Regions from separate parts of the Mus musculus genome. Here all the other regions are reported to be linked to region 1. The links are microRNA targets in miRTarBase. Many come from high-throughput screens and were not tested one by one. Region 1 holds a microRNA gene; each other region holds the end of a gene's coding sequence.

What was found. Region 1 holds the annotated microRNA mmu-miR-669o-3p (ACAUAACAUACACACACACGUAU, at 1,838-1,860, shown strand). A microRNA usually pairs through its seed, bases 2 to 8, with sites in the 3' UTR of a target mRNA and lowers its output. Matches are read on the target gene's strand: a 7mer-m8 pairs with bases 2 to 8, a 7mer-A1 pairs with bases 2 to 7 and ends in A, and an 8mer does both.
Region 2: miRTarBase lists Cd47 as a target of mmu-miR-669o-3p. Seed matches in the 3' UTR shown: 7mer-A1 at 1,335-1,341.
Region 3: the mRNA of 2610002M06Rik is a reported target of mmu-miR-669o-3p. Seed matches in the 3' UTR shown: 7mer-m8 at 1,279-1,285.

The regions. Positions count from the first base shown.
Region 1 is chr2:10,502,005-10,505,371 of GRCm38, forward strand. It overlaps Mir669a-12 (microRNA 669a-12), which reads left to right and starts at 1,787; the gene lies at 1,787-1,873. The region is part of intron 10 of Sfmbt2 (Scm-like with four mbt domains 2); the gene reads left to right. It overlaps Mir467a-10 (microRNA 467a-10), which reads left to right and starts at 1,269; the gene lies at 1,269-1,351. Mir466b-3 (microRNA 466b-3) reads left to right here and starts at 1,561; the gene lies at 1,561-1,641.
Region 2 is chr16:49,910,225-49,913,591 of GRCm38, forward strand. Cd47 (CD47 antigen (Rh-related antigen, integrin-associated signal transducer)) reads left to right here. Exons shown (of 9, transcript NM_001368415.1): 9 at 645-2,204. The coding sequence ends at 653. Among named protein-coding and RNA genes, the nearest start is that of Gm19723, 44 kb to the right of the region's middle.
Region 3 is chrX:107,785,167-107,788,166 of GRCm38, reverse strand. It overlaps 2610002M06Rik (RIKEN cDNA 2610002M06 gene), which reads left to right. Exons shown (of 8, transcript NM_025921.3): 8 at 314-3,000. The coding sequence ends at 358. Among named protein-coding and RNA genes, the nearest start is that of 2610002M06Rik, 30 kb to the left of the region's middle.

The DNA of each region.
Region 1 (3,367 bases):
CACACAAACATCAGTGCAACTCATCGATCCATTTGAATGACGTGTGACTTAGAGTTTTAAGATTCCTCAGTACTGAATGGGGAGAGGTCTCACTCAGCAGGTGAAGTCCCTTGACAGAGTCAGGTGGATAAGGAGTTCAAATTCGTGCTGAATTTCATGATGAGTTCATGATCAGCATGGGATTCATCTTATGCCCACCAAAAATGTGCATGTGTGTATAGTTGTGTGCATATTCACTTCTCTATATGAATATGCATATACACGCATGCAAACACATTCATAGGAATGGCCAGAGCTATGTCTCAGTTAGGCGGTGAGTATGCTTGCCAGAGCTAGGAGGATGAGGAGTTCAAATTCATGTTTAACTTCTTGATGTGTTAGTGTTCAGCATGCGATTCATGTGATGCCCACGAAGAATGTGCATGTGTGTATAGTTGTGTACATATTCACTTCTCTACATGAATATGCATATACTCACATGCAAACATACTCACACTAATGGCCAGATCTTTGACTCAGTTAGGAGGTGAATACTCTTGCCAGCATCATGAGGATGAGTAGTTCAAATTCATGTTCATCTTTATGGTGAGTTAGAGATCAGTCCAGAATTCATGTGATTTTTCCCTGTGTATGTGTTTATGTGTAAAAGGAAGTGTGCCTGTACATGCGCGTATATGAGCATGCATATATATATATATATATATATATATATATATATATATATATACACACCCACACAACTAGGGACACATACATGTGCACACATACACACATGGCAGTCATCCATTTGATTTATACGTGCTTATAATTTCATTGAGTGTATATTCATGGTATAGGGAATAATCTCACTTATCAGATGAAAACCACTTGCCAGAGTTAGGAGTCTCAGGAGTTCAAATTCATGCTTAACTTCATAATGAGTTAGAGATCACCCTGTATTTGTGTGATGGATCCTAGGTATGCACAAGTGCATATAATTGTGTGTGCACGTACATGTGTGTATATGATCATACATATAAATACACACACATACAAATGTATTCACACACACAGGCGTGCACACTCACACACATAAGAATGACACTCATTGATCCATTTGAATGATATATGTCTTAGAATTTTGCTGATTATAAAGTAGAGGGACAGTGAAGGTCTCACTCACCAGGTGTAAATAATTGGCAGTGTCAGGAGGATCAGGAGTTCAATTTCATGCTTAACTTCATGAGCAGTTAGAGATCATCCTGGAATAATGTGATGGCCCCTATGTATGTGCCCGTGTGCGTAAGTGCCTGCATGTATATGCGTGTATATTTTATGCATATACATACACACACCTACACACACATGCACACAGACATGCGGAAATGGCCTTCACGGATCCATTTGAATGATATGTGACCTACTGCTTTGGAGGTTATGTATGACTGGGCCAGGGTGAGGTCTCACAAACCACGGGAAAACCCTTGGTAGAGTCGGGAAGATCAGGAGTGCAAGTTCATAGTAAAGGCATGATGAGTTAGAGGTCATCCTGGCATTCATGTGATTGCCCCTGTGTATGTGTATATGTGTTGATGTGTGTGTACATGTACATGTGTGAATATGATATACAAATACATACACGCACACATAAGACACATATGAGCACACAGACACATGGGAATGGCACTCATCAATCCATTTGAGTGATAAGTGACTTAGAGTGAAAATGCTTGCTAGAGTTAAGAGTATCAGGAGTTCAAATTCATACTTATCCTCATGAGAGATCAGCCTGTGATTCCTCCATGTATGTGCATGTGTGTATAGTTGTGTGTGCATGTTCATGTCTATATTTGAATATACATAACATACACACACACGTATAAACGCAAGCACACATACACAGATACAGGAATGGCATTCGCCAATCCCTTTGAATGATAAGTGATGTAGAGTTTTAGCGATTATGCAATAGGGGACATTGAATGTCCTCACTCACCAGGTGTAAAAGATTGACAAAGTCAGGAGGATAAAGATTGCAAATTCATGCTTAATTCAGTTAGAGATCATCCTGGTATTCATGTGATGCCTCCCATGAATGTGCATGTGTGTTTACTTGTATGTGCATTATCTCTGTTGACATGCTATATATAACATAAACACACGTGTATATGCAAGCACACACACACACAGGAAAAAATTGCATTCATTTATACGTTTGAATGATGTGTGACTTAAAGTTTTCAAGATTATGCAGTAGTGGGACAGTGAATGGTTTTACTCACCAGGTGTGAAAGATTGTGGATCAGGAGTTCTAATTCATGCTTTACTTCATGATGACTTAGAGATATGCCTGGGATTCATGTGATGCCCCCTATGTATCTCTATCTGTATCTGTTTCTATTGTGTGTGGATTTGAGTATATGGATGTACCTATCTACACAAATATATACATGTACACAGACACAAACAGAAACACACACACAAACATCAGTGCAACTCATCGATCCATTTGAATGATATGTGATTTAGAGTTTTAAGATTCCTCAGTACTGAATGGGGAGAGGTCTCACTCAGCAGGTGAAATCCCTTGACAGTGTCAGTTGGATCAGGAGTTCAAATTCGTGCTGAATTTCATGATGAGTTCATGATTAGCATGGGATTCATCTTATGCCCACCAAAAATGTGCAAGTGTGTATAGTTGTGTGCATATTCACTTCTGTATATGAATATGCATATACACGCATGCACACACATTCATAGGAATGGCCAGAGCTATGTCTCAGTTAGGAGGTGAGCACTCTTGCCAGAGTCAGGAGGATGACGAGTTCAAATTCATGTTTAACTCACATTGAGTTAGAGATCAGCATGCGATTCGTGTGATGTCCTCCAAATATGTGCATGTGAGTATAGTTGTGTGCATATTCACTTTTATACATGAATATGCATATATACTCATGCACATACACGAATGTCACTCATATATTTTTTTGAATGTTATGTGACTCAGAGATTTAGAGCTTATGCAGTACTGGTCCAGAGCTATGCCTCAGTTAGGAGGTGAATACTCTTGCCAGAGTCAGGAGGATATGAAGTTCAAATTAATGTTTAACTTCATGATGAGTTATAGATAAGGCTGTAATTTATGTTTTTGCCTCTGTGTACGTGTATATGTCTATAGGTAAGTGTGCTTGTACATGTGGGTATATGTATATGCATATATATACACATATATGGACACATACATGTGTACACAAATACACATGGCAATCATCCATTTGATTTATATGTGCTTAGAGTTTTATAGAGTGCATATTCATGGGACAGGAAACATCTCATTAATCAGATGCAAACCATTTGCCAGAGTCAGGAGGATCTGGAGTTCAAATTC
Region 2 (3,367 bases), not on the chromosome of region 1:
TTTTTGTTTTTTGAGACAGGGTTTCTCTGTGTAACTCTGGCTGTCCTGGAACTCACTCTGTAGACCAGGCTGGCCTCGAACTCAGAAATCCGCCTGCCTCTGCCTCCCGAGTGCTGGGATTAAAGGCGTGCGCCACCACGCCGGGCGACACAGTTTGGTTTTTAAATGCTTGTTACGGGCTGTGTCTTCTGATGTCCACCCTGGACTCACGGCGTACAGATCACCCTGAACAAAGTTCAGGGCACCTTCCCAAGAACTTCCTCTTTACCTATGCCGGATCACAAGTCTGTTTCACTTATATTAACCGAATGCTGTAAACCTAAAGTGAACATGGTAGAATATTATTCTTGGATCAATAACTTCTGCTTTGAAAAATCAACATCTCATGCCTTGTATTGAGCTTACCCAGCAAACCAAGGTTATCAGTCTGTGTTGATTTTATTTTCCCATGCCATTGGCATTTTACTTACCAAACTGAAAAGGCTAATGATTTGCCTGATTTCTGTCTGTGACCTTTACAGATACATTTTCATTATTTTTGATAGAATATCTCAAACAGTTTCAAGCTTTAGCAACAAGTCATGTCTCAATGCATAGGAAGTGGACGTGAGTAGTGACGAAATGTTGATGTTTCTGTTTTCCAGAATAGGTGAAGGGAAGTGACGGACTGTAACTTGGAAGTCAGAAATGGAAGAATACAGTTGTCTAAGCACCAGGTCTTCACGACTCACAGCTGGAAGGAACAGACAACAGTAACTGACTTCCATCCAGGAAAACATGTCACATAAATGATTACTAAGTTTATATTCAAAGCAGCTGTACTTTACATAATAAAAAAAATATGATGTGCTGTGTAACCAATTGGAATCCCATTTTTCTATTGTTTCTACTCAACTAGGGGCAAACGTTTCAGGGGCAACTTCCAAGAATGATGCTTGTTAGATCCTAGAGTCTCTGAACACTGAGTTTAAATTGATTCCGAGTGAGACTCGCCAAGCACTAACCTGAGGGTTAGTTACCCAGAGATACCTATGAAAAACAGTGGTATCCAGCAAGCCTTAGTAAACTCAGGTTGCCAGCAGCTTTGCCACTTCCGCTGCTAGCTGAATAACAAGACTGCCACTTCTGGGTCATAGTGATAGAGACTGAAGTAGAAAAACGAATGTGGTTGGGCAAATCCCGTGTGGCCCCTCTGTGTGCTATGATATTGATGGCACTGGTGTCTTCATTCTTGGGGGTTGCCATCATTCACACACACCCCTTTGACATACAGTGCACCCCAGTTTTGAATACATTTTTTTTGCACCCTGTCCCGTTCTGCTACTTTGATTTGCGTTATGATATATATATATATATATAATACCTTTTCTCCTCTTTAAACATGGTCCTGTGACACAATAGTCAGTTGCAGAAAGGAGCCAGACTTATTCGCAAAGCACTGTGCTCAAACTCTTCAGAAAAAAAGGAAAAAAAAAAAAAGCTATAGTTGTAACATATGTATTCCAGACCTCTGGTTTAAAGGCAAAAGAAAAAAAATCTACAGTGTTTCTTCTCATGTTTTCTGATCGGAGGCATGACAAAGCAAGACTGAAATCTGAACTGTGTCTCCTGCATGGCAACACGTGTCTCCGTCAGGCCCTCGCAAGGCCCGGGGAGGGGGTTCTACGCCTCTTGTCTCTTTGTTGCATGCTGAACACTCATCGCCTTCCTACTGTATCCTGCCTCCTGCAGCCTCCCTCTTCCTCCTCCTCTTCCTCTTCCTCCTCTTCCTCCTCCTCCTCCTCTTCCTCCAAGTTTGAAAGGTCAAACAAAACTACCACATTCCCTACCCAGTTAGAAGAAAACCACCGTCCTGACAGTTGTGATCGCATGGAGTACTTTTAGATTATTAGCACCTGTTTTTACCTCGTTTGTGGGCGTGTTTGTATGTGCACATGTATGAAGTCGGCACATGCACCTTCTGTATGGGCAGAGGCGTGGCATCTACAGAAGAGCAGATGCCAACTTTGTGCTTTTAGTGAATACATTAAAAAAAAAAAACCAACGGTCCTTATTGAGTGGAATTCTATTTGATGCAAATATTTGAGCTCTTTAAGACTTTAAAACTAGATAATGTGCCAAGCTTTTAGGACTGCTCACCAGTGCCCTCTGAAGAAACACCAGTACTTTTTCCTGTTTGTGTAATAAAGGCATATTTGTATTTGTGTTTGCATCACTAATGGTTATTTCTTCTTAGTCCACTGAATGTTTCCATGTGCCTCTCGTATGCCAAACTTTTTGTCATCTTTCATGTGGGGACCAAATGGTTTGTCTGTGGCAAACCTAAACCTATGACCTGCTGAGGCCTCTCAGAAAACTGACCACAGTACCAAGATAGTACTTCGCAAAGAAAAGTAGGTTCCCTCCCTGGTTTTGTAGCTGTCGCCAATATTAGCGTAATTCCAAGGAGCTGAACGCCTTTATATAAATCTGATGGCACCTGATGCTTTTAGTTCTGAAAATATTTACACTCGGATCATGTTGTTGATGACTTAAACAAAGTTTTGATGAAGAGAGCAAAAAAAAAGCAGGTGGATTTGGAACAGTTTCAGGGTTTTTTTTGTTTTTTGTTTTTTGTTTTTGTTTTTTTTTTTTTATTTTTGTTTTTCTGTTCTCTGTTAGAAAAGTCAGGTGTTCTCTGTCAGGCTATCTTTATAGTCAATTTTTTTTACGAACTAAAGTAGTACCTTTTAATATGTAGTCAACGCCCCTCTGCTCGGGGTTCAGTTTTGGGTCTTAACCAGCTGTCATGTTCTCTATGCTGCCTGCCACTTGAGGCACTGAGTGCCCTAGACAGTCCCATCGGTGGTAGCCAGGGAAACGAAAGACGAACTCAACTCTTGCTCCTAATAATCAACTCTCTGTATGAAGGATGGCAGCATTAAGAGTCCTCCTGCCTGGGCATTATTGGGCCAGTTCACCCTCTTTAAATCAAACCCGCAGTGGCTCCCAGTTCTCGTCCCATCAGATTTAAATTGCTAACAGTATGGGGGGCACCACGCATCTGTTTTGTCCCACAATGCGCTTTTCTCTCCCAAATCCCGATTTCTGCTGTCATAGCCTCTATTCAATTTTTATTTATTGTCTGCCCTCCACTTATACAATCGTAGAGAGCAATGCCATTTGTCACTTTCTGCAACAGTTTTTTGAGCCTTTATGGCTGAATCCCATTTTTCTTCTCTTTCAAACTGTTTGCTCCATTGCTCCTCCCGCACGGCTGTCCGTACAGTCATCCCATCCATCTGGGGGCCTCTTTCATCTCTCACCCTTCCTGGTGCTTCGTGGATCTCTGCTTACCTCTGTGGGTTTTTTTTTTTTTTTTTGACTT
Region 3 (3,000 bases), not on the chromosome of region 1:
ACATATTCACATTTTTATGAAGAATATTTTTCTACCATGATACATCATTATAAATGAAGAAAATATGAGAAACCATTAGCTCTGTAATGGTGGGCATTTTCAATTTGCATGCACATTTCATTTCTTACATTGTTTTGCTAACCTTCATACTGCTCTAAATGCAGTTTCTTTTGAGATATTTAAAAAACTAATTGCCTAACATTTATATAAATTTCATAAGCTTTTAAATTCTATTTACAATGGAAGAGGATTAAAATTTTGTGGCTAATATTTGTTACAGCCTTTGATAATTTGTAAATTTGGCTTCCCCTAGGATGAACTGTCACAGAGGCTTGCTCGTCTTCGTGATCAAGTGTAACTTAAATAACTGGTGCTTCTGTTCCTCCACATATTTCTGAGCCATCATTTGTGTGTGTGTCTATAGATAAGGTGTATTCCAGTTACAAAAACATCATACATGACAGGATGTTTGGACATCATTTCTATAAGATGCTTTCTTTTGCCTTGTGTATTTCACAGTGCATTGCGAAATTCCAAGGAATTTCCACATTGGCAGATTTTATAGTTCTATATATTGTGTGTAAAAGTGTGAGGGACATATTTTTCTAGATGTCTTTGGCAAAGCTAGCATTAGTTTTCTGTATATTATACATCTTCCGCAAATATTAGAGCAAACATCTAGCACCAAAGTAATGCTAAGTAAAGTAATTTTGTCAGAATAATGTATAAAGGCTTTGTTTTTACTTATTGAAAGTAACTTTCAATTATTGTCTGTGATGAATTTTGATTTTGTAAAAATAAAAACAGGAAAGCATGTTCATTTAATATGTTCGCATAACCCAGACCATCTTATTTTAAGTATCACAAGATAGACTATACAATTTCCATGGGATTTTTGAAAATTATTTCTATTTTGTATGTATGGTTGTTTTGCCTGCATGTTAAATTGTGTACTCACTTGTGTGTCTGGTGCCTACAGAGGCCAGAAGAGGACATTGGATTCCCCAGGAACTAGAGCTATAGACAATTGGGAGCCAACATGTGGATACTAGAATTCAAACCCATTTCTTCTAGAAGACCAGCCAGTGCTCTTAACTCCTGAGCCATGTGTCTAGCCTCTGTTTTGTTTCGTTGCTGTTGTTGTTTTGCTTGTTTATTTTAGAGACAGGGCAGAAATATATAGCCCAGAGTTCCCTGAAACTCAGTGAGCCTCCAGCATTGGTCTCTAAGTATATACCACCATACCCAGCTCATTTTCTATGATTTGGGGGTGGGGGTTGTTATGCACATTAGTTATTTTTTCTGTTTCTATGATAAATAACCGTGCTCAAAAGTGACTTATGGAAGAAAGAAAGTATTTTGGTTTATGGTTCCAGGGAAATGAGGGCTCCATCATGGTGGGGAGGTGTGGCAGCAAGAGCAGGTAGCTGGTACATGTTTAATGACACACACAAAGCAGAAAGAACAGGCTGCCAGTGTAACAGACCTAGAAGCTCTCAAAGCCAGTGACATACTTCATTTAGTAAGGTTGCATATCTCCATACCTTCTCCATAAGGCACCACCAACTGGGAAACAATTATTCAAGTACATGAGTCTATGGAAAAATGTCTCGTTCAGACCACTGCATTCCTCTCCCTGGCTTCCATAGACTTATGGCCATATCATAATGCAAAATGTATTTACTCTGATGCTTAAAGTGCCCATGGTCTTTCTCAATCTCAATACTATTTGAAATTTCAAAGTCCAGCATATCTTGTGAGACTCGAGACAATCTCTAGCCACTGATAAGATCTAAAAGCAAATAATATACTTCCAACATACGATGGCACAGGTTACACATTATCATTTTAGAAGGGAGGAAGGGGGACATGATGAGGAAATACTGGACTACAGAGAGACTGAAAGCTCACAAGGCATACATATAAGCAAATCCTGTAGCTCTATGTGGGATGTCTGGGACTACTTTCCGAGGGTTTGGATGGCTTAACTCCTCCAGCTTTGCTGCCTGATTTAATAGCTCACTCTCTAGTAACATCTTCTACGTTAGTTACTTCTCTGTTGCTGCGATTAAGCACCATGACCAGAAGCAATTTATAAATAGAAGAGTTTATTTTGGCTTACAGTTCCAGAGGGATAAGAAAGTGTGCACCATGGCAGGGATGCATGGTAGCAGGATCAGGAAGCCAAGAAATCATGCTTTCTATTATGCTGTACACATGACGCAGAAAGAGCCAGCTGGAAGTGTGGCAAGACACTCCCAATGCCTGTTGCTGGTGGAATAATTCCTCCAACAGAGTTTGTACAATGACCTGTACCATAACCTTCCCAACTGGTGAACAAAGTTTCAAATATGTGAGCCTATAGGAGACTCATTCAATTCAGAACATTATGTAAAGAGAAACAGAGTAAATATTTACTTGGTTTTAATCCACTGTAAAGTTTAAATCATTATAGTTTTTAGCCAGTAATTTAATGATGACTGTTCATTAATTTTTAAGACCTTTTAATGGACAATTTATTATATAACTAGGAAAATTCTGCAACATTAATCCAAAGTTTGTATTGGGATACCCTAGATATCCATAGAAGAGATTTGATGGACAAAAGTATTTATGACATAAAGAATGTGTTCTCTGTTGGTATGAATTAAATAGTTTCTGTTCTTTTAACTTGAATAAAAAATTGTTAGATTTATTACTACCACTTAGCTCCACAACTAGCTGTTCATTCTTTTATGTTGCAACCATGTCAGACTTACCTTTTAAAATATTACTATCAGGGCTGTAAAGTTAATACTACCATTTCAAGAGGATCTGCCTTTGTGTCTCAGCAGCACATCAGTTACCTCACAACATCCTGTAAATCTGCCTCCTGGGGATTCAGTGACCTTTCCTGGTTCCCACAGGGTACCTGAACTCATGTGTATAGATGCACACAGACACACACATAATTTTTAAAATAAAGATATACTGGACATGGTCACACATACCTTTAATCTC